3 linked regions of the Saccharomyces cerevisiae S288C genome follow. The main gene of each other region encodes a partner of the protein of the gene in region 3 in a complex. Each region holds a gene or a part of one and is shown on either strand. Other genes may lie near its edges. A codon is read from its position in the direction of its gene.

Region 1 (10,701 bases), on a different chromosome or scaffold from region 3:
TTAATGACCAAGTCTACTACGTCAGGTCTCATCTCGGTGGTATTTGCCATGCAGGTGATAGTGTTATGGGTTATTTCATTGCAAACTCGAATTACAACTCAGATCTTTTTGATGGGTTAAATATCGATTATGTGCCTGATGTAGTTCTTGTGAAGAAATTGTATCAAAGAAAGAGCAAAAAGAGCAGACACTGGAAGTTAAAGAGAATGGCTAAGGAACACAAAGATATCGATGCATCCTTAGATTACAATTCAAGAGCTCAAAAGCAAGAAATGGAACGTGCAGAAAAGGACTACGAATTATTCTTACAAGAATTAGAAGAGGATGCTGAATTAAGACAAAGTGTTAACCTATACAAAAACCGCGAAGCAAATGTACCTCCTGAAGAGCATGAAATGGATGAAGACGAGGATGAAGACGCTCCACAAATCAACATTGATGAATTATTGGACGAGTTAGATGAAATGACATTAGAAGATGGAGTCGAGAACACACCCGTTGAATCTCAGCAGTAAAAAAACACCAAAGAATGGAGAGTAGTATATACTCTTAACAAACACTAGCATTTCAGTTTATCTATATACATATATATGGATGTAAAATGTACTTTATGGAAGAACAAGCCACCACATGTTGAAAACTAGATAGGCAAGCAAGATTTTTCATTTGTAGAGCTCTTACGCAAGATTTTTAAACTTCCGCTTTTTTAATCCATGAGATTCCTTTGGACACCCTTTCCGGCACGGCAAAACAAAAAAATTAAGGGAACTCATTATTTTACGATGCTACTTAGATAACTAAAGTTCATTATATTTCAACAAATATAAGATAATCAAGAATAAAATGTCGTCAGAAAGGGTCTTAAGTTATGCACCAGCTTTTAAATCATTTCTGGATACATCTTTTTTCCAAGAATTATCGAGATTGAAACTCGATGTTCTGAAATTAGATTCAACATGCCAACCACTTACTGTGAATCTAGATTTACACAACATTCCTAAATCTGCTGATCAAGTTCCATTATTCTTAACAAATAGAAGCTTTGAAAAACACAATAATAAGCGTACTAATGAAGTGCCTTTACAGGGCAGTATTTTCAATTTTAATGTATTAGACGAGTTTAAGAATCTTGATAAGCAACTATTTTTACATCAAAGAGCATTGGAATGCTGGGAAGATGGAATAAAGGATATCAATAAGTGTGTTTCTTTTGTGATTATTAGTTTTGCTGACCTAAAAAAGTACAGGTTTTATTACTGGTTAGGTGTTCCCTGTTTTCAAAGACCCTCTTCAACAGTTTTACATGTGCGGCCAGAGCCGAGTTTAAAAGGGCTGTTCTCAAAGTGTCAAAAATGGTTTGATGTCAATTACTCAAAATGGGTGTGTATACTGGATGCAGACGATGAAATAGTAAATTATGACAAGTGTATTATTCGAAAAACTAAAGTTTTGGCGATAAGGGACACTAGTACGATGGAAAACGTCCCTTCTGCTCTAACCAAAAATTTTCTCAGCGTGTTGCAATACGATGTTCCTGACTTGATAGATTTCAAACTATTAATTATTAGACAGAACGAAGGTAGCTTTGCATTAAATGCTACATTTGCTTCTATTGACCCACAATCATCCTCAAGTAACCCAGATATGAAAGTTTCTGGATGGGAAAGGAATGTGCAAGGTAAGCTAGCACCACGTGTTGTTGATTTAAGTTCATTGTTAGATCCTTTAAAAATTGCTGACCAATCCGTGGATTTAAATTTGAAGCTAATGAAATGGAGAATTCTTCCTGACTTAAATCTAGATATCATCAAAAACACAAAAGTACTACTACTAGGTGCTGGTACACTAGGTTGTTATGTTTCACGCGCATTGATAGCATGGGGGGTTAGAAAAATAACATTTGTGGATAACGGTACAGTTTCATATTCAAATCCAGTGAGGCAAGCGTTATATAATTTTGAGGACTGTGGAAAGCCAAAGGCAGAACTTGCGGCTGCGTCTTTGAAAAGAATATTTCCTTTAATGGACGCTACTGGTGTGAAATTAAGTATTCCTATGATCGGTCATAAATTAGTAAACGAGGAGGCTCAGCATAAGGATTTTGATAGATTAAGAGCATTAATAAAAGAGCATGATATCATTTTTTTATTGGTGGATTCTCGAGAAAGCAGATGGCTTCCGTCGTTATTGAGCAACATCGAAAACAAAACCGTTATTAATGCTGCTCTGGGGTTTGATAGCTACTTAGTTATGAGGCATGGTAATAGAGATGAACAGTCTTCAAAACAACTGGGCTGTTATTTTTGCCATGATGTGGTAGCACCAACTGACAGTTTAACTGACAGGACTTTGGATCAAATGTGCACAGTAACTAGACCCGGCGTTGCTATGATGGCCTCTTCTTTAGCAGTTGAATTGATGACTTCCTTACTACAGACCAAATACTCTGGTTCAGAAACAACAGTATTAGGGGATATACCTCATCAAATACGTGGGTTTTTGCATAATTTTTCCATCTTAAAATTAGAAACTCCAGCCTATGAGCATTGTCCAGCATGTAGCCCTAAAGTTATCGAAGCATTTACAGACTTAGGTTGGGAATTTGTTAAAAAGGCCTTGGAGCATCCACTTTACCTTGAAGAAATTAGCGGTTTGTCAGTCATAAAGCAGGAGGTCGAACGACTAGGCAACGATGTTTTTGAATGGGAAGATGATGAATCTGATGAGATTGCTTAATATTTTGCATATAATAGCATTGGTACATATTGTGGTGCCACTTTCCGTAATTAAGCTACTAAATTTTTGACTCTAACGTTTATAACATTGAATTATTAAAATGATCTTGCTATACTATTTTGCATACATTATTTTTTGTAGTTTTAACAAGAAGACAAATTCTTGACTTTACTCACAAAACATAAACATAAAATGTAATAAAGTCCTCAATGTTCACCGTATTTTTCAAAAAGGATCAGTGAAAGTGTCGGTAAAGCTACCTTTTTGATACTTTCTTTTTATGAGAATAAGTTGTATTTCTTTATTATGTATGATACGGGCGTTCAATCAATACGTTTTAAGTTCGTTGCTGACGGCTAAGAAATTGGTAAGAGGAGTAGTTCCATCAATGTCTAAAGTGATATGATAAAAACTATACGATTTGAAGATCTATGCGTTCACTTCACGTATCCAAGTTTCCCCTCCTAATAATTCACATTAATTTGGCATTCATATCTAAAGCGTTGCTATTACCCTTCCCCTGGTAGTCGCGGAACAACAAAAAACGCCAAAATAAGTAATGAAAATGTAAACAAAAAGGAACTAAGTTGAAAAGTCATCGAAAGCGATACCACCTGGTTCTTTCTTCATTATAGACTAATTGTTGCGTGCCAAGAAGTTGTTTGTGTATCCATAATATTTATTATCAAACTGATCTAAGATTGCTTTGTACACATCTTGCGTGAAAAAATGGAAATCAAAGAGGTAGATGACAGGGCAGAGCTACTGAGATATACCAACAATATTCCGTTACTTGGAAAGCTAGTCAACCATCAACCATTATGGAGTACAAATCCTAAGTTAAAGTCCTTTTCGCTAGAAAAAATATCAGCCCCTGATCAAAGGCGTGTACAAGAGGCATTAGTTGTAAAAGACCTATTAAATGTATTGATTGGACTTGAAGGAACATACATCAGATATTTTAATGATTATGAACCTAGTGACCCAGAGACACCGATAGAATTTAAGATTGCCAAGAAAATGGATCCATCATTCAAAACATTCAGTAGAAGAATTGTTAGGTATGGTAAGCAATACATGATATTAACAAGGGCGTATGAAAAATGGTCTGACACAAGCTTTGGGATGGTTTTGCAAAGATTTGCTTATGAAATCAGAAGATTCTTAGAAGACGTCTACTTAAAAACGTTAGTTGAAAGGCTTGAAAGGGACTTTAACAAAGTGCCAAACTTTTCTATCAGAGAACTAGAACAAATCATTAATGAAACAGAAGTAAACAAACAAATGGAGTTGCTGTACAATATTTATGAAGAAATTTTTAGAGAAATAGAAGAAAGAAGGACGAACCAATCTTCACAAGAAGATTTCAATAATTTTATGGACAGTATGAAGAATGAAAGCAGCTTGCACTTACGATTAATGGTAGCATTTGACACAACAGTATATCCGGTACCCAAAGGTGGTGCCATATTGAAAATTTTTCAGCAAAAAATACTGGAAAATTTGGGTGATAGGTCAAGCGTAATGTTTTTGAAGAAGCTATTGAATAATATAAGCCAAGACTATTGCACAATGCTGTATGAATGGCTAACACAGGGTATTTTAAACGACCCTTACCAAGAATTCATGACTTATGATGATTTGGAAGGTAAGACGGATAACATATTTGACACAAGAGACAGAGCGTGGGATACGCAATACTTCATAAGAAAAGATGTTTTGTTGCGGGATTGTGACTCAGAAGAGGATAAGAATCTACTATTCAAGATGTTAAGGACCGGTATTTTACTCAAAGTTGTTCGAGCTAGCTTACAAATACCCACCATACCTTCTAATAGCAGTGATATAACCATTCAAGAAATCAATGATTTCGCTGACTTAATGGAGGGTTCTAATCTTGAACTTTACGTGGATAAATGTTACAGCAGAGCCAATGAAATATTTTTAAAGCTATTTTTTCAAGGTTACGATTTGATCAATGTATTAAAACATTTGCAACAAATTTTTCTTGGGTATCAATCTGGTCATAATGTTTTAAAGTTTCTAACAAAAAATATGGGTGAGTTGACCAAACACTACAGGAATGATAATAATGCAAACTATGACAAGCTGCTACAAAATTTTGAGTTAGAGAGACAATCCGAAAATCCAAACAACCTGATGAGGCAACTCCTGATGATACAGTTCGATACAGAAACACTTCCACAAGTCTTATCGCACTACCTCCAAATTTATCCAGAAGTACCTGAGAATAACTCAGCAAATGACGACAGCGACCCATTGATGCACGCGAATAATTTCAAGAATATGAATGCCATTCTTTTTGATGAATTAAGCAAAGAACGAACGGGAGCCTACCATGGATCCAATCTAGAACTATATACTCCAAAAAGCGCAATTTATCATTTAAAATTTGACATCAACATACCTTATCCATTGAATATTATTATTAGTAGGACATGCATGATAAAATACCAAATAATCCTGCGCTACCAACTAGTTTTACAATACCACTCAAGGCTTTTGGATGAGACTTGGATGGACTTAAACAAAACACCCAGCTGGAAATACAGAGGCTATTCGCACACTGTGAAGAGGAGGATAGTAAGGGCAACGAGAGTGCTGCATGCTAAGATGAACCACTTCATTAAAACCATCATGGAATATTTCAACCAAAACGTAATTGATAAAGAGGTATACTCATTAGAAAAGTGCTACAGAAATCCTACTCTTGCCGTTGCCATCCAAAATGAGCTAGAAGGTGGATTAACAAATATAATGACAAATCGTTGCTTGTCTGACTTGATTCCACTACAGTTACAAATATTTGACATTGTATATAAGTTTTGCAAGTTCATCAAATCTATGAGAGCAAAATTATGTCAACTGGACCCCGTACTATATGAGAAACACAAAAGCGGGATGATGAAAACACTAAACGAAGGCTATCGTACAAACAATGGCGGTCAGGAAGATGTTGGTTACCAAGAAGATGCCGCCCTGGAATTAATTCAGAAGCTGATTGAATACATTAGCAACGCGTCCAGCATTTTTCGGAAGTGTCTCATAAACTTTACTCAAGAGTTAAGTACTGAAAAATTCGACTTTTATGATAGTTCAAGTGTCGACGCTGCGGGTATAGAAAGGGTTCTTTACTCTATAGTACCTCCTCGCTCAGCATCTGCTTCTTCCCAAAGATGAACGCGGCGTTATGTCACTAACGACGTGCACCAACTTGCGGAAAGTGGAATCCCGTTCCAAAACTGGCATCCACTAATTGATACATCTACACACCGCACGCCTTTTTTCTGAAGCCCACTTTCGTGGACTTTGCCATATGCAAAATTCATGAAGTGTGATACCAAGTCAGCATACACCTCACTAGGGTAGTTTCTTTGGTTGTATTGATCATTTGGTTCATCGTGGTTCATTAATTTTTTTTCTCCATTGCTTTCTGGCTTTGATCTTACTATCATTTGGATTTTTGTCGAAGGTTGTAGAATTGTATGTGACAAGTGGCACCAAGCATATATAAAAAAAAAAAGCATTATCTTCCTACCAGAGTTGATTGTTAAAAACGTATTTATAGCAAACGCAATTGTAATTAATTCTTATTTTGTATCTTTTCTTCCCTTGTCTCAATCTTTTATTTTTATTTTATTTTTCTTTTCTTAGTTTCTTTCATAACACCAAGCAACTAATACTATAACATACAATAATAATGGCTGTCTCTAAAGTTTACGCTAGATCCGTCTACGACTCCCGTGGTAACCCAACCGTCGAAGTCGAATTAACCACCGAAAAGGGTGTTTTCAGATCCATTGTTCCATCTGGTGCCTCCACCGGTGTCCACGAAGCTTTGGAAATGAGAGATGAAGACAAATCCAAGTGGATGGGTAAGGGTGTTATGAACGCTGTCAACAACGTCAACAACGTCATTGCTGCTGCTTTCGTCAAGGCCAACCTAGATGTTAAGGACCAAAAGGCCGTCGATGACTTCTTGTTGTCTTTGGATGGTACCGCCAACAAGTCCAAGTTGGGTGCTAACGCTATCTTGGGTGTCTCCATGGCCGCTGCTAGAGCCGCTGCTGCTGAAAAGAACGTCCCATTGTACCAACATTTGGCTGACTTGTCTAAGTCCAAGACCTCTCCATACGTTTTGCCAGTTCCATTCTTGAACGTTTTGAACGGTGGTTCCCACGCTGGTGGTGCTTTGGCTTTGCAAGAATTCATGATTGCTCCAACTGGTGCTAAGACCTTCGCTGAAGCCATGAGAATTGGTTCCGAAGTTTACCACAACTTGAAGTCTTTGACCAAGAAGAGATACGGTGCTTCTGCCGGTAACGTCGGTGACGAAGGTGGTGTTGCTCCAAACATTCAAACCGCTGAAGAAGCTTTGGACTTGATTGTTGACGCTATCAAGGCTGCTGGTCACGACGGTAAGGTCAAGATCGGTTTGGACTGTGCTTCCTCTGAATTCTTCAAGGACGGTAAGTACGACTTGGACTTCAAGAACCCAGAATCTGACAAATCCAAGTGGTTGACTGGTGTCGAATTAGCTGACATGTACCACTCCTTGATGAAGAGATACCCAATTGTCTCCATCGAAGATCCATTTGCTGAAGATGACTGGGAAGCTTGGTCTCACTTCTTCAAGACCGCTGGTATCCAAATTGTTGCTGATGACTTGACTGTCACCAACCCAGCTAGAATTGCTACCGCCATCGAAAAGAAGGCTGCTGACGCTTTGTTGTTGAAGGTTAACCAAATCGGTACCTTGTCTGAATCCATCAAGGCTGCTCAAGACTCTTTCGCTGCCAACTGGGGTGTTATGGTTTCCCACAGATCTGGTGAAACTGAAGACACTTTCATTGCTGACTTGGTTGTCGGTTTGAGAACTGGTCAAATCAAGACTGGTGCTCCAGCTAGATCCGAAAGATTGGCTAAGTTGAACCAATTGTTGAGAATCGAAGAAGAATTGGGTGACAAGGCTGTCTACGCCGGTGAAAACTTCCACCACGGTGACAAGTTGTAAAGTGCTTTTAACTAAGAATTATTAGTCTTTTCTGCTTATTTTTTCATCATAGTTTAGAACACTTTATATTAACGAATAGTTTATGAATCTATTTAGGTTTAAAAATTGATACAGTTTTATAAGTTACTTTTTCAAAGACTCGTGCTGTCTATTGCATAATGCACTGGAAGGGGAAAAAAAAGGTGCACACGCGTGGCTTTTTCTTGAATTTGCAGTTTGAAAAATAACTACATGGATGATAAGAAAACATGGAGTACAGTCACTTTGAGAACCTTCAATCAGCTGGTAACGTCTTCGTTAATTGGATACTCAAAAAAGATGGATAGCATGAATCACAAGATGGAAGGAAATGCGGGCCACGACCACAGTGATATGCATATGGGAGATGGAGATGATACCTGTTCGATGAATATGCTATTTTCGTGGTCATACAAGAATACGTGTGTCGTCTTTGAATGGTGGCATATCAAGACCCTGCCTGGACTGATTTTAAGTTGTTTAGCAATTTTTGGTCTAGCCTACCTCTATGAGTACTTAAAGTACTGTGTCCATAAGAGACAATTATCCCAGAGAGTATTGTTACCAAATAGATCTCTGACCAAGATCAACCAAGCCGACAAAGTGTCCAATAGTATTCTATATGGTTTGCAAGTGGGATTCTCATTCATGCTCATGCTTGTATTCATGACTTATAATGGTTGGTTAATGTTAGCTGTCGTGTGTGGGGCAATATGGGGTAATTACAGCTGGTGTACTTCGTATAGTCCTGAGATAGATGACAGCTCCCTCGCCTGCCATTAAGATGGTGACAAATATTACAAATTTGATACTATTTGTATCTATTTTGTTTTTATCCGGGATTTTTCGTATTTCTTCCTCATTCATACCCTTCCCTTTATTTGTTCCCACTGAGTATAATGATAAACTACGTTAACATTACATGTATAATATTTAGCACTCGTACGTTACTAGTCTTTGACACAAGTTTATATATCCCCCCCTTTATGTTATCGTTTATTGGCTACAGCCTCAGTAATCAAAATAGTCCACTATTTCTATATCATTAACTTCTGCGTCGCCAAGATGTTAATCATGAAACGATCTAGTTCTTCAACAGTTTGCCAGCGACCATTCGAGCTAATCTTGAACAAAAGTAATACTATTTAAGGGTGGGCGCGGGTTGTTATACCGTTTTGAGACGATCTACTATAACGTTATATTTAATTATATAAGTGATGAATTTAATGTCCCGTCCACAACACGAAATCGCACCTCATTTCAACGCGGCAAGTATTAATGTTCTGCTTTATGAAAGATTCCATGAACCCTTTTCTACCTTTTAAATTCCTCTTTTCACTCTTAATCACATGATATTACCTTTACATAGGAAGCGCCAGACATCTTTTTGCCGAGAAAAGCCATTATGCAAGATAATCCTGTAGCCTCATATCAAGGATAAATGCCACTGCAAAAACGCAGTCGTTATTTGGGACTGTATTTAAATGGGCCACTGTTTTTATACAAGTCGAAAATACAATAATACAGAAAATTCAAGCAGGAAGCGAGAAATAACAAGAAGTAACTAGGCATGACAGTGAATGACAAAAAAAGATTGGCAATCATAGGTGGGGGGCCAGGAGGGTTGGCAGCTGCAAGAGTTTTCTCGCAAAGTCTTCCAAATTTTGAAATAGAAATATTTGTAAAGGATTACGATATTGGCGGTGTCTGGCATTATCCAGAACAAAAAAGTGATGGGAGGGTCATGTATGACCATTTGGAAACCAATATATCAAAGAAGTTAATGCAGTTTAGCGGCTTTCCCTTCGAGGAAAACGTCCCTTTATATCCGTCTCGAAGAAACATTTGGGAATACTTGAAAGCCTATTACAAAACGTTCATTGCCAACAAAGATGCTATCAGCATCCATTTCAGCACCGAAGTTACCTACTTAAAGAAGAAGAACTCTCAATGGGAGATAACATCTAAAGACGAACTAAGGACTACTAAATCGGATTTTGACTTCGTTATTGTTGCGTCTGGTCACTACAGTGTCCCTAAACTACCAACTAATATCGCAGGTCTCGATCTATGGTTCGACAATAAGGGCGCCTTTCATTCTAAGGATTTCAAAAACTGCGAGTTTGCCCGTGAAAAAGTCGTTATTGTGGTGGGAAACGGCAGTTCCGGCCAAGATATTGCCAACCAACTAACTACCGTTGCAAAGAAAGTATATAATAGTATAAAAGAGCCTGCGAGCAATCAACTGAAGGCCAAGTTAATCGAGACTGTCCAAACAATAGACAGTGCCGATTGGAAAAATCGTTCAGTTACTTTATCTGATGGAAGAGTACTTCAGAATATAGACTACATTATTTTCGCCACAGGCTATTATTACAGCTTTCCATTTATAGAGCCCTCCGTTAGACTGGAAGTGCTAGGTGAGGGTGTTACTGGCGACAAGCACTCGTCTGTCAATCTGCACAATTTGTGGGAGCACATGATCTATGTAAAAGATCCTACGCTGTCCTTTATCTTGACCCCGCAGTTGGTCATCCCGTTCCCGTTGTCGGAACTACAGGCGGCTATTATGGTCGAAGTATTCTGTAAAAGCTTACCGATAACTACAACTTTCGACTCTAATGCCTGCGGAACGCACAACTTCCCAAAGGGAAAGGACCTGGAATACTATGCAGAACTACAGGAACTACTGAATAGCATTCCACGTAGGGTCGGTCATTTCGAACCAGTTGTATGGGATGATAGACTGATCGATCTAAGAAACAGTAGTTATACAGACAAAGAAGAAAGAAATGTGCTTCTAGCGGAACACGCACAAGCCCTAAAGAAAAAAAAAGCACCATACTTCCTTCCGGCGCCACATACTTAACGTAAAAAGGAATGTACTTGTATAGAAAAAACACATATTGTGC
Region 2 (3,650 bases), on a different chromosome or scaffold from region 3:
CAGCTAATAATTATCGATTAATAACGAAATACAAGAACAGTCGTTTAGTTTAGAGTATCATCAAGGGCTTTTGCACGAAATAAAAATATGAGAATATCAATATTACAGCTGGTGCCGGTTGTTGGCTACATCGGATTTGCACTGGGAGAATTATACAAACCCAAAAACTCCATTTCTTGTTCTCCAAATAACCCTTGTCCCGCAGAATGGCCGTGCTGCTCGCCGTATAATGAATGTGGCGCTGGACCGATATGTGTCGGTGGCTGCAACGTGAGGTCATCTTTCGACGAGGAAAGCTGTGCTCCTATACCTGCATTAGTCGCCAGTCAAAAACTTGAATTTGTTAGCACACCAAAGGTTCCTAAATTTATTGTGAACTATCAACCTAAGCCACCAATAAGAGAGGGAAATGGACCGAATAAGGCAAATACCAAGGTGGGTGTAGTAGAAGGGGAGCTAAATTCCAAGAGAATCATACACTACGCCAAATTCTTGGTCACTCCAGACAGTAAAGAGGCAGAGAAAATGTTGGAAGATTTCGATTTCACACATAGCGGCTACACATCAATTGAAGCGAGTAGCGGGAATATTGTTCTGGCTATGCCAAAAAAAACTACCGGAAGTTTGATCACATCGACCAGGTCGTTTCTATACGGCAAGGCAAGCGTGCGAATGAAAACGGCGAGGTCGAGGGGTGTGGTGACTGCATTTGACTTAACATCCGCAATTGGGGACGAGATTGATTTTGAGTGGCTGGGTGGTGATTTAATGACGGCCCAATCAAACTACTATTCTCAAGGGCATTTGGATTACACAAGAATGCAAAGATTTCCCGTAGGCGCTGACACTTGGGCCACTTACCACACTTATGAGATTGATTGGGACCCGGATAGGATAATATGGTATGTTGATGGTAAAATAGCTCGCACAGTCCTGAAGAAGGATACCTGGGACCCCATTAGTAAAGAATATAGGTACCCACAAACGCCGATGAGACTAGAAATCGCTGTTTGGCCAGGCGGCTCGGAAACCAACGGACCCGGTACAATAAACTGGGCAGGTGGCCTCATAGATTGGGAAAATTCACCCGATATTATCGAAAAGGGCCAATTTACGGCGCATGTTGAACAAATCACCGTAACGCCGTACCAAAATAAATTCACAGAACAAGTGCAGTTTTGTATAAAGGCAAAGAAAAAGGCACCAACCTTTTCCCAAAAAGATTTGTCAAGAGTAGTCGTTTCGTATAACAGGCAAGACAGACTGAATCATCATGATGAGGGGTCTCTCAAATGGGACTGCTTTGTTACTCCAAAGATAAATGACTGGTTGAGTTCTTGGAAACGGTCAAAATAGTCACAGCAATAATGTCTTACGAAGTTCTCTCTTCCGTAACGGATCCTCTAATTCCCTGCATGAAGGCACGCTCTAATATATATGTATACATTCTTTAGTTCAAACCTTTCAAGAAACACAAAATGCACCTATTTTCCGCATTGCAATTATTACTAATTTCCTAAAGCAAATATTTACTATTCTCCCATTATAACGTTCTCTCTTTGTTACCCTGACATTCAGAAAATATCACCGGGTAACAGAACGCGTTAATATTATCTTTTGGGAAATTTCATTAAATGTAATAAATAATAATCGTAACAGTAGCTGCGAAATGAACAAATGCGTAATATCGGTTAGTCACATGTATAAGAATTCAACATATAACTATCTATGGGTGGAGAAATTATTACTTTGCAAGCAGGTCAATGCGGGAACCACGTTGGTAAGTTTCTCTGGTCTCAATTGGCGAAAGAACACGCTATAGGCACCGATGGGCTATCTCAGCTTCCTGATTCCAGTACGGAAAGAGATGATGACACAAAGCCTTTCTTCCGCGAAAACAGTAGGAATAAGTTTACGCCAAGGGCTATTATGATGGATTCCGAGCCTAGTGTCATCGCCGACGTGGAGAACACATTTCGTGGGTTTTTCGACCCAAGAAATACCTGGGTAGCTTCTGATGGCGCTAGCGCTGGTAATTCTTGGGCCAATGGGTATGATATAGGAACTCGTAACCAGGATGATATTCTTAACAAGATCGACAAGGAGATTGATTCTACCGACAATTTCGAAGGTTTCCAGTTGCTGCACTCAGTAGCCGGAGGGACCGGTTCAGGGCTCGGATCCAACCTCTTAGAAGCGCTGTGTGATCGATATCCTAAAAAAATACTCACGACATATTCTGTGTTCCCTGCAAGATCTTCTGAGGTTGTTGTTCAATCTTATAACACTATTCTGGCTTTGAGAAGACTGATAGAAGATAGCGATGCAACGGTGGTGTTTGATAACGCTTCGTTGCTGAATATTTCCGGTAAAGTGTTTAGAAATCCGAACATCGATTTACAACACACGAATCAATTGATATCGACCATAATATCTTCAGTAACGAACAGTATACGGTTTCCGAGTTACATGTATTCATCCATGTCCAGTATTTACTCTACCTTGATTCCTTCTCCTGAACTTCATTTCCTAAGCCCTAGTTTCACTCCATTTACATCAGATTATATTCACGATGATATAGCGCATAAAGGCCATTCCAGTTATGACGTCATGTTAGATTTATTAGACCCTTCCAATTCTCTTGTCTCTACCGCGATGAACAATCCAACATATTTTAACGTTTATAATACAATCATTGGTAATGTAGAACCTCGTCAGATATCGCGTGCTATGACCAAATTACAACAACGCATCAAATTCCCCTCATGGTCCTCTTCTGCGATGCACGTTAACATTGGAAGAAGATCGCCATACTTGCCTTTACAACCAAATGAAAACGAAGTTAGCGGCATGATGTTAAGCAATATGTCTACCGTGGTGAACGTCTTTGAGAATGCGTGCAATACTTTTGACAAAGTATTTGCCAAGGGCGCATTTTTAAATAATTATAATGTAGGCGACTTGTTCCAATCAATGCAGAACGTTCAAGATGAATTCGCCGAGTCAAGAGAAGTAGTACAAAGCCTGATGGAGGATTATGTAGCTGCAGAACAAGATTCGTACTTGGACGATGTACTTGTTGATGATGAAAATATGGTTGGCGAGTTGGAAGAGGACCTGGATGCCGACGGTGATCATAAATTAGTATAATGATGCCTTCCTTGTTCAGGAATTTTACCACCGCCCAATAGTTTTATTATAGTACTCTCAATATATCTATACCAACAACCGCTTCAAATGTATTATCTCCCTTTATAAATTCTGCACTGTATTGTAATATGTATAAAGCTCTGTACCACTTTTTCATCATTGCATACATCGATAGCGCCTCTTCAACTTTAGAATTTCCTAAAGGGTAGAAAAACCAGATGATTCAACTCAGCGTAATGGAACGCTCTGTTTGAAATAAAAAACATCTGTATCGCTGCACGGATTAGTTCGATAATTCAACGACAGTTATACTAATCTTGGTGATGGAATGAGTACTTTAGCGGAAGTAAGTTTTTGAATTATGCCCCCACTTTTTTTTTGTTCATGGTGACTAACATGAATTAGGTTTATACTATTATTGAGGACGCCGAACAGGAATGTCGAAAAGGAGATTTTACAAATGCAAAAGCGAAGTATCAAGAAGCCATTGAAGTTTTAGG
Region 3 (10,702 bases):
CTGCTTTATAGGAATAGCTTGGATGACTTAATATTGTTTCTAACAGTGTACCATGGCAAGGGAAATTTTAGAATTTTTAATTTTAGAGGTGAGAAAGAAGACAGCGATTATAAAGATAATGATCTTATTGGTATCGCTGCCAAGTTTGAGAGCAAAGATTTTGAAATTCAAGAATTACGTTCGACGCTGATTAATGATGGAAAGATACCAATATCACCCATTGATCTCGAAACAAGGACCTTGGTCGAAGAAGAAACCAATAATGTAATTTGTGAAAGGATCGGTTGGCTAGATCATTTTCCACCGCCATTTGAACTGCTGGAAGAGATTGTAGATGGTATAGAAAATTACCTGTCCGTTTCGAAGAATAGAGTGGCTGTTTTACATTGTCGAATGGGGAAAGGCCGATCTGGTATGATAACAGTAGCATACCTCATGAAATACTTGCAGTGTCCTCTTGGAGAAGCAAGATTGATATTCATGCAGGCTAGATTCAAGTATGGTATGACGAATGGCGTCACCATACCCTCTCAATTAAGATACTTAAGGTACCATGAGTTTTTTATTACCCATGAAAAAGCAGCCCAAGAAGGAATTTCTAATGAGGCGGTAAAATTCAAATTTAAATTCAGGCTTGCTAAAATGACGTTCCTCCGCCCATCAAGCTTAATCACTTCCGAGTCTGCTATTGTAACTACTAAGATTCAACACTACAACGATGATAGAAATGCCCTCCTAACCCGAAAAGTAGTATATTCAGATATCATGGCGCATGAATGCGGTGGTAATATGACCTTCATTTTTGGTAGGGACTACTTAACACTGGAAAATGATTGTCGTATAGAATTTACCCTGGGGACCAGCAAGTCCAAAGCCGCCAGTAGCATAATATCTTGGACTTCATGCGCCAGCTGTTGGCTGAATATATACCTTGAGACTTTGATGCACATAATTAAAGACGATTCTTCGCCAGATTACTTTCAAGTAGAGAGGTTAAAGAGAGACGAAATGCTTGGGACAACCATAAGCTGGCAAGAGCTGGACGGTTTTGGGGAGCTCAGCACTCACGGCTTGAAATTATTTCAGGCACTGAAATTGGAATGGGAAATTATATAGGTTTATGCATTTCGTCAAATCCATTCATTCGTTAAACTTAGTTAAAAGTGTTATATTTATTGTGAATTGGTTTGTTTTGGTAGGCTTTTTTCTATATTATGTATTCTTTTCCTTTTCTTCAATATTCTTGTATGGTACTTTAATTTACTGGCAGGTATTTTTTGGAGCGGTCAATTATATGAATCAAAACGCCATTCTAGAAACAGGAAGAAATATATGAGAACCAAGGAGTAGGTTGAAAGGCATTGTAGAGAAATTTTATTAGTATTTATAGCCGAAGAAGAAGGTTAAGTGACAAATTTTCATTTATAAGCCTCGCTAAAATGAATGCTAGTGGAAGATCTCATTCCAAAGGCCCCATTATAAGGTCTGTGTCTTTAGAAGATCTTAAGAGAAACTCTAGTTTCAAAGGCAATCTAAAGTACAAAGATGAAGTCACTTCACATAAAGAACCACAGGTCGGAACATTGAGCAACGAAGAACTGCTAAAAGATTTGGACAACATGTTGCGCGGTAAACTGAACATGGGAAGAAACAGTTTTCATGCCGATAAAAGAAATAAATCAGATGGAAATATCAGTGCCTTAACCTTCAAGGCAAGATCAGGTCTTGAGGGAGATATTCGTACCATAGATATACAGCAAGATAGTAGTGATGAAAATGATAATTTTAAGTTCAGTGATGATGGCGTTAATAAGGATAGAAATAATGAGAAAGATAATAATACTGATAACGCCGTTGAATTTCAAGACGATGCTGAAGAAGCTGAAGAGGAGAATGAGGATGAATCATTTGCTAATGTAGATGAACTGGATGGCTTTGATTTGAATAAGGTTTCTGATGGCAAGCATGTTCCTATCAATGAAAAGGGCGAAGTTGATTATAATATGCCGGTAGATAAAGAATTTCAGAAATCACTTGACCAGTGCGCAGCTTCACTTGAGGAAAGATCAAGTGCACCTTATGCTTTACAAAGAGCAGTGGACTGGGAATTGAAGATGTTTTATTCTTTGGAAGATGAACTGTCGGAATGGTTTTGCAGCTCTGATTATATGCATTTTGGACAGACACAGACTCTGTTTAAACAGAAAATTACGCAACCACAATTATTCTTTGATGATGAAAACTATGCTGCGAGCGTAGTTGAATGTTTAATTGAAGACATCCCCAATTCTTTAGCATCTAATTTACTCGCATTATCATATATTTCTATGGGATGCTTTGCGTTTACGAATAGCAAAAGTGAGCATACAAAGATTATACGACGCAACAATTTAATGCTTGTTCCTCATATTCAAGAAATTGTTCATGCCTTCAAGAAGATTGCAATAAGTTGTAGGGATGACAACAGAAATTTAAAGAAACAAACAATTTTGCTATTTCATTCGTCAACAATCCTATACTTCATATGCAGTATTTGTATAGAAGGTAGAGGAGAAAATCCGGAAGCAGTAAATGTTGTTATCGACGCTTTTGAGAAAACAGATTTGTTGGAATTTTTAACAAAGTATATTGAAAATTGGAGGTGGAATAGCAGATTAGCTATGCGCATAAGAAATATGATTTCTTTGCTCTTCAAGCTTATTGTATTACAATTTGGTGACAGTTCTGTCTACAAACAGACCAAATCATCTATTTATAATCTCCATGGCTTAACATATCCATCAAAGCATCCAGAAAAGCTTTCTATCTCCCCATTACATTATCAAGCATTCAGGGAGGACATTACTTCCCGTTTTCCTGATTACAATATGCCCAGTTCTGGCTTACCTAAAGATGTTGACAAATCAGAATCTCTTTCCCAGTTTCTGGAAATTCCTCGTCCAAAATCAAAGAATCCTCTAAATATGGCGCTCATTGTTCCTGAAAAACATATTGCTACACCTGCTCCTTCACCGCCAAGCTCTCCACAATTAATGCATTTAGGTGAAGGTCCTAGACCTCGTAAATCTTTCCAAACAAACATGGCATATCCGTGTTTGTATCCATCTGATAATGAAGGATCTGAAGATGACACTCTGGAAGATAGGATAGATTTAAATATAGAGAGAAAACCTGATAACGATATAGTTATTCCATTCAGTACCGAAGAGGCAGCGAGAATATTAAGCGAGAGTTTAGAAATTAAGCTGAGTACAAAACAACTTTGGTACGAAAGGGACTTATTCATGATAACTGAACGTGGTTGGAAACAGCAATTAGAAAATGAGCCATATGATTATGCCGCGCTTAATCATGATGCAAACTCTTCAAAAGAGGAAAAAAGTGCGATTTGCATTATGCAGCGAATTGACAAATATTATAAGAGCTGCCTTTCGAGCTTTAACTCTCTTGTTTTTGTCTTACTGCAAACAATGGAATCAAGCTTGACAAATAACTTTCATAGGAAAAGTGAAGTCTCCGATAAAAATCTTCTAAATATGCTGACACCCCAATTGGAGATCGTGAGAGCTAAGGAATTGTCCCTAAAGTCAGCAGCGGGCATATTACATGCGTTATTGAAGTGGTTTAAGTTAAGCCATATTTTGAAATTTGAACACTTGGCGGTAGTTATTCACGATTCGCGATACATCAACACATGCGCATCTATTTTAAGCAAATATTCTGAGGTTTATCCAGAGAGGGTTTTCAATAAATATGTACAAACCCCGAATTCATTTTGGAAGGAGTGTTCTCTCTCTAACGAGTCTTATCGTGAATCCTATTCAGTAGATGACTCAGGAGAGGTCGACACGGAGATTATGCCTTCGTTTGCATATCTGTTAAGAATCTTGAGAAAAGTCACAGGGAATAAAACACAAAGGTTAAAGGAGCTGCCCCTCTCCATCGGCATTCTATTTAAACGCTATTATCGGCTCTTCAACCTTGACATGTATCATCCAATATTGAAAATAACAAGAGAACTCACACCATTCAAAAACAAGAGGTGGAAATCCGAGCATATGGAATTGATATCGGGGGTTTACCTTTATGAAAAGCTGGAGTTAACTGATAATTGGGTAACAGGGAAGGATATATCAGGAGAGTTGAGCGATGCTTGTGGTCAAGAAATTGCACTCCGGGCCTTGCTTCAATTTTACAATTTTCAACACTATGAAATATCTATGGAGGACCTTGGATATGGACACCGTAATAGTTCCAGCCAAGATCTGTTAAACAAGGAATCCGAGTATTTGAATATTTAAATCTCTACTTACGGATACCGAGGCTCGGGGCGCGATGTTATTGTCATTAACAATCTCCTATCCCTCCCTATGTTTATATAGTTTTCAATGGAGGAGCATGAAAACCCCTTAAATAGTGTTTATTTGATCGCGCAATGGTGATGATTGGATCTTCATATCACAAGTGGGATACTAGGACAACCGTTGTTGGATTTCTATTATCATAATATATACGGGTAACGATTTTTGATGCGTCGCGTTTGTAAACAAAACTAAACAAAACAAACAAATATACTCATTTGATGGCTTCATCTGCATATAAGAAATAGAAGAGCCAGAATACTAAGCATAACCATAATATATATTACAGTCTATTTCAGTTGTAGCTGAAAAATCAATATGGAACTAGAGCCCACTCTTTTTGGTATAATAGAGGCATTGGCTCCTCAATTATTGTCGCAGAGTCATTTGCAGACATTTGTATCTGATGTAGTCAATTTACTGCGATCATCCACCAAATCGGCAACTCAATTAGGCCCTTTAATTGATTTTTACAAATTACAATCACTAGATTCGCCTGAAACAACAATTATGTGGCATAAAATTGAGAAATTTCTCGATGCTTTATTTGGAATCCAGAACACCGATGATATGGTAAAGTACCTCTCTGTCTTTCAATCTTTGCTTCCATCAAATTACAGAGCAAAAATTGTCCAAAAATCATCTGGGCTCAATATGGAGAACCTTGCTAACCATGAACATTTACTTAGCCCAGTGCGGGCTCCAAGTATATATACAGAAGCTTCATTTGAAAACATGGACCGATTTTCTGAAAGAAGGTCCATGGTATCTTCGCCTAATCGTTACGTTCCCTCTTCAACCTACAGTTCTGTTACTTTGAGACAGTTGTCAAATCCTTATTATGTGAACACTATACCCGAGGAAGATATCCTAAAATACGTATCATATACATTATTAGCTACGACATCGGCACTATTTCCGTTTGATCATGAGCAAATACAAATTCCGTCTAAGATACCCAATTTTGAGAGTGGACTTTTACATTTAATATTTGAAGCGGGTTTATTATATCAAAGTTTGGGTTATAAAGTGGAGAAGTTTAGGATGTTGAATATATCTCCAATGAAAAAAGCATTGATTATAGAAATTTCAGAAGAATTACAAAACTACACAGCATTTGTGAACAATCTGGTCTCTTCAGGGACAGTAGTGTCATTGAAATCGTTATATCGTGAAATATATGAAAATATAATAAGGCTTCGAATATACTGTAGGTTTACAGAACACCTTGAAGAATTGAGCGGAGATACATTCTTGATTGAATTAAATATTTTCAAATCCCACGGAGATCTTACTATAAGAAAAATAGCAACGAATTTGTTTAATTCAATGATTTCTCTTTATTATGAGTATTTAATGAATTGGTTGACTAAAGGTCTACTCCGAGCTACTTATGGAGAATTCTTCATTGCTGAAAACACTGATACAAATGGTACAGACGATGATTTTATTTACCACATTCCTATAGAGTTCAACCAAGAAAGAGTTCCGGCCTTCATACCGAAAGAGTTGGCATATAAAATATTCATGATCGGCAAATCGTATATCTTCCTAGAAAAGTACTGTAAAGAGGTTCAATGGACAAACGAATTTTCTAAAAAGTATCATGTCCTGTACCAGAGCAATTCTTATCGGGGAATATCAACGAACTTTTTTGAAATTATAAATGATCAATATTCTGAAATTGTTAATCATACTAATCAAATTCTAAATCAGAAGTTTCATTACAGAGACGTGGTATTTGCGTTAAAGAATATTCTTCTCATGGGTAAATCTGATTTTATGGATGCTCTTATAGAAAAGGCCAATGATATTCTCGCGACACCATCGGATTCATTGCCAAATTATAAGTTAACAAGGGTTTTACAGGAAGCCGTGCAGCTTTCTTCCTTAAGACATTTAATGAATAGTCCCCGTAATAGTTCTGTCATTAATGGATTGGATGCGAGGGTACTCGATCTTGGACATGGATCCGTGGGTTGGGATGTTTTTACTTTAGATTACATCCTCTACCCCCCTTTGAGTTTAGTATTAAACGTAAATCGTCCTTTTGGCAGGAAAGAGTATCTACGAATTTTCAATTTTTTATGGAGATTTAAAAAGAACAATTATTTCTATCAAAAGGAAATGTTGAAGAGTAATGATATAATCAGATCATTCAAGAAAATCAGAGGTTACAACCCGCTCATCCGTGATATTATCAATAAACTTTCTAGAATCAGTATACTTAGAACTCAATTCCAGCAATTCAACTCGAAGATGGAATCTTATTATTTGAACTGCATTATAGAGGAAAATTTTAAAGAAATGACCCGGAAACTGCAACGCACAGAGAATAAAAGCCAAAACCAATTCGACTTAATTAGATTAAATAATGGCACCATAGAATTAAATGGGATTTTAACCCCAAAAGCTGAAGTACTAACAAAGTCTTCAAGCAGTAAACCCCAAAAACACGCAATCGAAAAGACGCTGAATATTGATGAATTAGAAAGTGTACATAACACGTTCTTGACGAATATTCTTTCTCATAAGCTTTTTGCAACTAACACAAGTGAAATAAGCGTTGGTGATTATTCTGGGCAACCATACCCAACTTCATTGGTTTTACTTTTAAATTCGGTTTACGAGTTCGTCAAAGTTTATTGTAATTTGAACGACATTGGATACGAAATCTTCATTAAAATGAATCTCAATGATCACGAAGCATCTAACGGATTATTGGGAAAATTTAATACGAATTTAAAGGAAATTGTTAGCCAGTATAAAAATTTTAAAGACAGACTGTATATTTTTAGGGCAGATTTAAAGAACGATGGCGATGAAGAGCTTTTCTTATTGAGCAAATCGCTCCGTTAAGAAATGATCCCGTCCCGTTTTTCATTTATAATAAATTTCCTCCACGCAGGTTTAATGTATAAGTTGTAATGGTAGCAAATGATTTACAGATTTATTTGCAAGTAAAGAGACTCTTTTTTCGTTTTGTTTTTCCTGGATCCGCAACACAAAGTGTATTACATATGGATACATGGAATATCTTTACAGTGCTAAATATATTAGGTTAAAAAAAGGTCGTTTTCTGTAAAGAATGCTTTTTCAGCGTTAACTTTACGTCTTTTTGATAATAAAGAAATTTAATTAGGTGAAGCGGAGATATTGAATATTATGTACTAATGATATGATGAGTAGGCGACGTAACTATCGCGTATATAACATGAATCAGGTCGTCGAAAAGAACTAGACCTTCATTGGATATACCATTCTTAGGAAGTATTTTTTAATGCCCGGACCTAAAAGAAGGTCATATTTAGTCTTTCTTTCTTTTAATTTACCCCAATCTTCATCGGCAGAATCGGTATCGTATTCGCTTGCCTTCCATTCTTTTAACTTCTCGTTTGTCATAGCTTGTCTTTCCGTTAATTTCATCCTGATAGAATATTCACGAAGGATAGAAATTAAAATTAGTGCGGCAATAAAGCAGCAACCGCAAAAAATTTGTGCATGTAAGTAAGGATTGCTCTTATCTTTCTCCACCGTCAATGCCTGGGCAATCACCTCACAAACCAATAAGAAAGGCGCACCACAGTAGTTGACGAAGGCCCAAGCGGGCAAAAACTCTTCTGGTTTAACCATATCGGCAATCAGAACGGTATTCATGACGTTGGCGACACCAACGCATGAGCCAACTAGAATTGAAAAAAAGATGAGTTGAACAAACGTATGAGCGGGGATCCAGAACGCAAACATATATATTGTTAACAAAGTGGTTAATACGATCGTTACGTTTGCCCTACCAAACTTATCTCCCGCTAAACCCATCAGAGGTCTTCCGATGGATTGCGAGCCGTTCAAAATGGCAGTCAATGTGGAAGCGTCGTGCGATGATAATCCTTTCGAGATTGCGTATGAAGATAAAGTAAAAACCATCATATTGTAGGCAAATAATGCGAACATGAACCATAATGCAATAAGTACCACAAATGGCTTAGTTATAACCTTTAATGAAAACATTGCTTTGAGCTGTTCAAACATGGCCCGAGGCGATTTCAATCCTATGGCAGGTGTAGGGTTTCTTTCTTTTAAGAGCGCAATAGCAACTAGAACACTTATGCTACACGATATGCCTATGATACGAAGGCACCACCGGGTATTTCCAAAGTCAGAAAGCATTTTGTTTGTAGCCAAACCGTAAACGACACCACCAGCACCGGTACCCAATAATGAGACACCCATTGCGACAGCTCTTTTTTTCAAGAACCATCCTGGTAAGACGGTTGTTGCTGGAACGAAAATCAGTGATATTGAACAACCGACCATAAAACCTTGGGTGACATACAATTGCCATAACTTGGTAGTAAAGGAGGCCAAGAGATATGCGGCAAGCATTACAGCATCACCAAAAAGCATGGTGGTCCGCAGACCAATTATTCTCATCAGTGCCATCACAAGGGGGGATAAGAGTTGACCGAGAAAGACAGTTAGGCCAGCAATTAAGGCATAATCGTACTTCGAAGCACCAGGGTAAGTATCATGGTTTAAGTAGTAGGCAAGGTCGACACCGAAGGATGCGTTGCAGCCCCACGTGGAAAACATGGTCAAGAACACACAGAATGTCACGACCCAGCCATAACCACCGTCGGGGGGCAGTTCCAGCTGCCCGGTAGACTTGTTGGTGAATACTTTTTTTACAGTCGGTTCATCAGGCTCGAATTCGGTTATTCCTTGGGCCTCAAGATCCTTACCGGAGTGTTTCGTGGAAGCCGGATATAGTCTATTCCTCATGAGTTTGGAGTCCATGGAAGCTTTATGTTCTGTAGTATCATTTTGAATAGAAGAAGCAGAGAAAGCAGAGGAAGATGGTGCCGACAACGAGGCGCCTGCAGTCGTGGTGTGTGTGACTGGGATGTTTAACTTTGACTGGACTGACTCATTGTGCTGTAGCCTAATGGCATCGGCCACGTCAAATCTAGATTCTAATATTTTATTAACGTCTGCGGAATTTTCTTCCGTCTGCAAGTTGTCGTCATCGACAGCCTTTTTAATGTCGTTGAGCCGATTAGTTAACGTCCTACTAATAGACAATTTTCTCGATGCATCGTTCGACTTGGTGCTGTGTAGATCAGAGCATGGAACCGGAGCAGCAATAGAAGCCTTAGAGAATGATACAGGCTGTGAAGAGTTTATCGAAGAAACCTCGGACGATGTCTCAGAGACCATTCCGGAAGAAGCAGAAAAGTAGTCGTTTGAGTGCGTTGACATTTTTCAGATTTATTTTCAGAAGCCCCGTAATTATACCTAAAGAAAAAGTAAAGAAAAGTGGAGAAAACAAAAGAAAAAGATAAAACTTTTAAATATGTGGTGTGACAAATGCAAAATACTATTCTGACTCGCACATTTAACTAACAAAAGAAAATTTGTCTAAGTCTAGCAGCTTTGGTAGAATATAGAAGAAACAGTCTAGTTTTGGCTCCGATATGAGTGGACAAAGCATCAAGATCTAAGGAATGCCAAGTATTTATCCAGGTTCTCCCGAAGACTTTTCTTCAATAGCGGCGGGGGTTTTTTTTTTTTGCAGATTGCCGAGATAGCCCGCGGCAAAGATACGTTATCTCGGTTATCGTCGGCAAGCGCTATTGTAACTAGATATAGGAAACTGTGGTCTGCAAAGATGCGGTATAAGGCCTCCGTCTGTTCTTACTGCGTTATCAGCCTTTGACAGTTTTAGTTCGTCAGGGTCTTTGACCAAATGATAAATTCCCTGGTTTACATTTTCACTAGTTTGTTCTCGAGCAATGCTTAGTTGGCACATAAATGAGTCAGGCACTACCACTCGGGTAACGGTCTGCGCGTTTCTTTTTGCGGCCATGAAATTTTTCAGGCGATGAGCTTAAAGGTAAAGGAAAAAGATGGTAGGATGATAGGTAGGATGAAGCGGTATGAAAGTGGAAGAAGCACAATATAGCACGTCGAAACAGTGCTAATCATGAGCGATGACTTGTTTTCTAAGGCTTTGGAGAATCCCGACCAGGACTTGAACGTGGAATTGCCCAAGGATGATGTTGATTTAGGTCTTTTAGGTGATGGTGGGAACGAGAGGAAGACCGATGAACCGGTAGCAGACGCAGAAAGATCAACAGGCCTAGGATCCGGCTCTTCTGAATCCGAATCAGATTCCGGTTCTGATTCTGATTCTGATTCTGGCTCTTCAGGTAGTGAGGATGATTCTGCAGATCAGGACGTTGAAGGAGAGGACGAAGGTGGTGACGCGATTGAAAATGAAGACGAAGACGAAGACCCTTCACCTTCCGGTCCTATACTATCGAAGAACGAAATACTAGAGG

The links.
Region 1: the proteins of SPC98 (region 3) and SPC97 are in contact, whole or in part, in a cryo-EM structure (PDB 7M2W), measured with the Saccharomyces cerevisiae proteins. Residues at the interface, in NP_014273.1 of Saccharomyces cerevisiae: Ser163 (codon at 5,166), Ser164 (codon at 5,169), Val165 (codon at 5,172), Thr166 (codon at 5,175), Leu167 (codon at 5,178), Arg168 (codon at 5,181), Leu170 (codon at 5,187), Ser171 (codon at 5,190), Tyr174 (codon at 5,199), Tyr175 (codon at 5,202), Asn177 (codon at 5,208), Thr178 (codon at 5,211), Asp203 (codon at 5,286), Glu205 (codon at 5,292), Gln206 (codon at 5,295), Ile207 (codon at 5,298), Gln208 (codon at 5,301), Ile209 (codon at 5,304), Pro210 (codon at 5,307), Ser211 (codon at 5,310), Lys212 (codon at 5,313), Ile213 (codon at 5,316), Pro214 (codon at 5,319), Asn215 (codon at 5,322), Phe216 (codon at 5,325), Ser218 (codon at 5,331), Gly219 (codon at 5,334), Leu220 (codon at 5,337), His222 (codon at 5,343), Leu223 (codon at 5,346); in NP_012042.1 of Saccharomyces cerevisiae: Met1 (codon at 3,466), Glu2 (codon at 3,469), Ile3 (codon at 3,472), Lys4 (codon at 3,475), Glu5 (codon at 3,478), Asp8 (codon at 3,487), Arg9 (codon at 3,490), Ala10 (codon at 3,493), Glu11 (codon at 3,496), Leu12 (codon at 3,499), Thr16 (codon at 3,511), Ile19 (codon at 3,520), Pro20 (codon at 3,523), Leu21 (codon at 3,526), Leu22 (codon at 3,529), Gly23 (codon at 3,532), Lys24 (codon at 3,535), Leu25 (codon at 3,538), Val26 (codon at 3,541), Asn27 (codon at 3,544), His28 (codon at 3,547), Gln29 (codon at 3,550), Pro30 (codon at 3,553), Leu31 (codon at 3,556), Trp32 (codon at 3,559), Asn35 (codon at 3,568), Pro36 (codon at 3,571), Lys37 (codon at 3,574), Leu38 (codon at 3,577), Phe41 (codon at 3,586).
Region 2: the proteins of SPC98 (region 3) and TUB4 are in contact, whole or in part, in a cryo-EM structure (PDB 7M2W), measured with the Saccharomyces cerevisiae proteins. Residues at the interface, in NP_014273.1 of Saccharomyces cerevisiae: Lys478 (codon at 6,111), Met483 (codon at 6,126), Gly484 (codon at 6,129), Lys485 (codon at 6,132), Ser486 (codon at 6,135), Asp487 (codon at 6,138), Met489 (codon at 6,144), Asp490 (codon at 6,147), Ile493 (codon at 6,156), Glu494 (codon at 6,159), Leu522 (codon at 6,243), Ser524 (codon at 6,249), Arg526 (codon at 6,255), His527 (codon at 6,258), Leu528 (codon at 6,261), Ser531 (codon at 6,270), Pro532 (codon at 6,273), Arg533 (codon at 6,276), Asn534 (codon at 6,279), Lys594 (codon at 6,459), Asn597 (codon at 6,468), Tyr598 (codon at 6,471), Gln601 (codon at 6,480), Met604 (codon at 6,489), Leu605 (codon at 6,492), Lys606 (codon at 6,495), Asn608 (codon at 6,501), Asp609 (codon at 6,504), Ile611 (codon at 6,510), Arg612 (codon at 6,513); in NP_013313.1 of Saccharomyces cerevisiae: Met1 (codon at 1,729), Gly2 (codon at 1,732), Thr44 (codon at 1,858), Glu45 (codon at 1,861), Arg46 (codon at 1,864), Asp47 (codon at 1,867), Asp48 (codon at 1,870), Asp49 (codon at 1,873), Thr50 (codon at 1,876), Lys51 (codon at 1,879), Asp131 (codon at 2,119), Cys159 (codon at 2,203), Pro163 (codon at 2,215), Lys164 (codon at 2,218), Lys165 (codon at 2,221), Ile166 (codon at 2,224), Glu196 (codon at 2,314), Asp197 (codon at 2,317), Ser198 (codon at 2,320), Asp199 (codon at 2,323), Pro245 (codon at 2,461), Ser246 (codon at 2,464), Tyr247 (codon at 2,467), Met248 (codon at 2,470), Tyr249 (codon at 2,473), Ser250 (codon at 2,476), Ser251 (codon at 2,479), Ser253 (codon at 2,485), Ser254 (codon at 2,488), Tyr256 (codon at 2,494).

What each region holds. Positions count from the first base shown.
Region 1 is NC_001140.6:444,870-455,570, forward strand, and holds SPC97 (gamma-tubulin-complex subunit SPC97), read left to right. Parts: upstream 1-3,465; coding exon 3,466-5,937; downstream 5,938-10,701. Other genes in the region: ribosome-binding protein NMD3, read left to right, coding at 1-515; ATG7 (Atg7p), read left to right, coding at 844-2,736; YHR173C (uncharacterized protein), read right to left, coding at 5,946-6,284; phosphopyruvate hydratase ENO2, read left to right, coding at 6,458-7,771; CTR2 (low-affinity Cu transporter), read left to right, coding at 8,003-8,572; YHR175W-A (uncharacterized protein), read left to right, coding at 8,689-8,838; FMO1 (N,N-dimethylaniline monooxygenase), read left to right, coding at 9,360-10,658. UniProt on the Saccharomyces cerevisiae protein: Involved in microtubule organization by the microtubule organizing center, the spindle pole body (SPB). Probably part of the microtubule attachment site at the SPB.
Region 2 is NC_001144.5:564,360-568,009, reverse strand, and holds TUB4 (gamma-tubulin), read left to right. Parts: upstream 1-1,728; coding exon 1,729-3,150; downstream 3,151-3,650. Other genes in the region: CRR1 (putative glycosylase), read left to right, coding at 88-1,356; ATG38 (Atg38p), read left to right, coding at 3,479-3,496, 3,556-3,650. UniProt on the Saccharomyces cerevisiae protein: Tubulin is the major constituent of microtubules. The gamma chain is found at microtubule organizing centers (MTOC) such as the spindle poles or the centrosome, suggesting that it is involved in the minus-end nucleation of microtubule assembly.
Region 3 is NC_001146.8:382,548-393,249, forward strand, and holds SPC98 (Spc98p), read left to right. Parts: upstream 1-4,679; coding exon 4,680-7,220; downstream 7,221-10,702. Other genes in the region: TEP1 (putative phosphatidylinositol-3,4,5-trisphosphate 3-phosphatase), read left to right, coding at 1-1,116; FAR11 (Far11p), read left to right, coding at 1,440-4,301; ESBP6 (Esbp6p), read right to left, coding at 7,599-9,620; NAF1 (RNA-binding snoRNP assembly protein), read left to right, coding at 10,345-10,702. UniProt on the Saccharomyces cerevisiae protein: Involved in microtubule organization by the microtubule organizing center, the spindle pole body (SPB). Probably part of the microtubule attachment site at the SPB.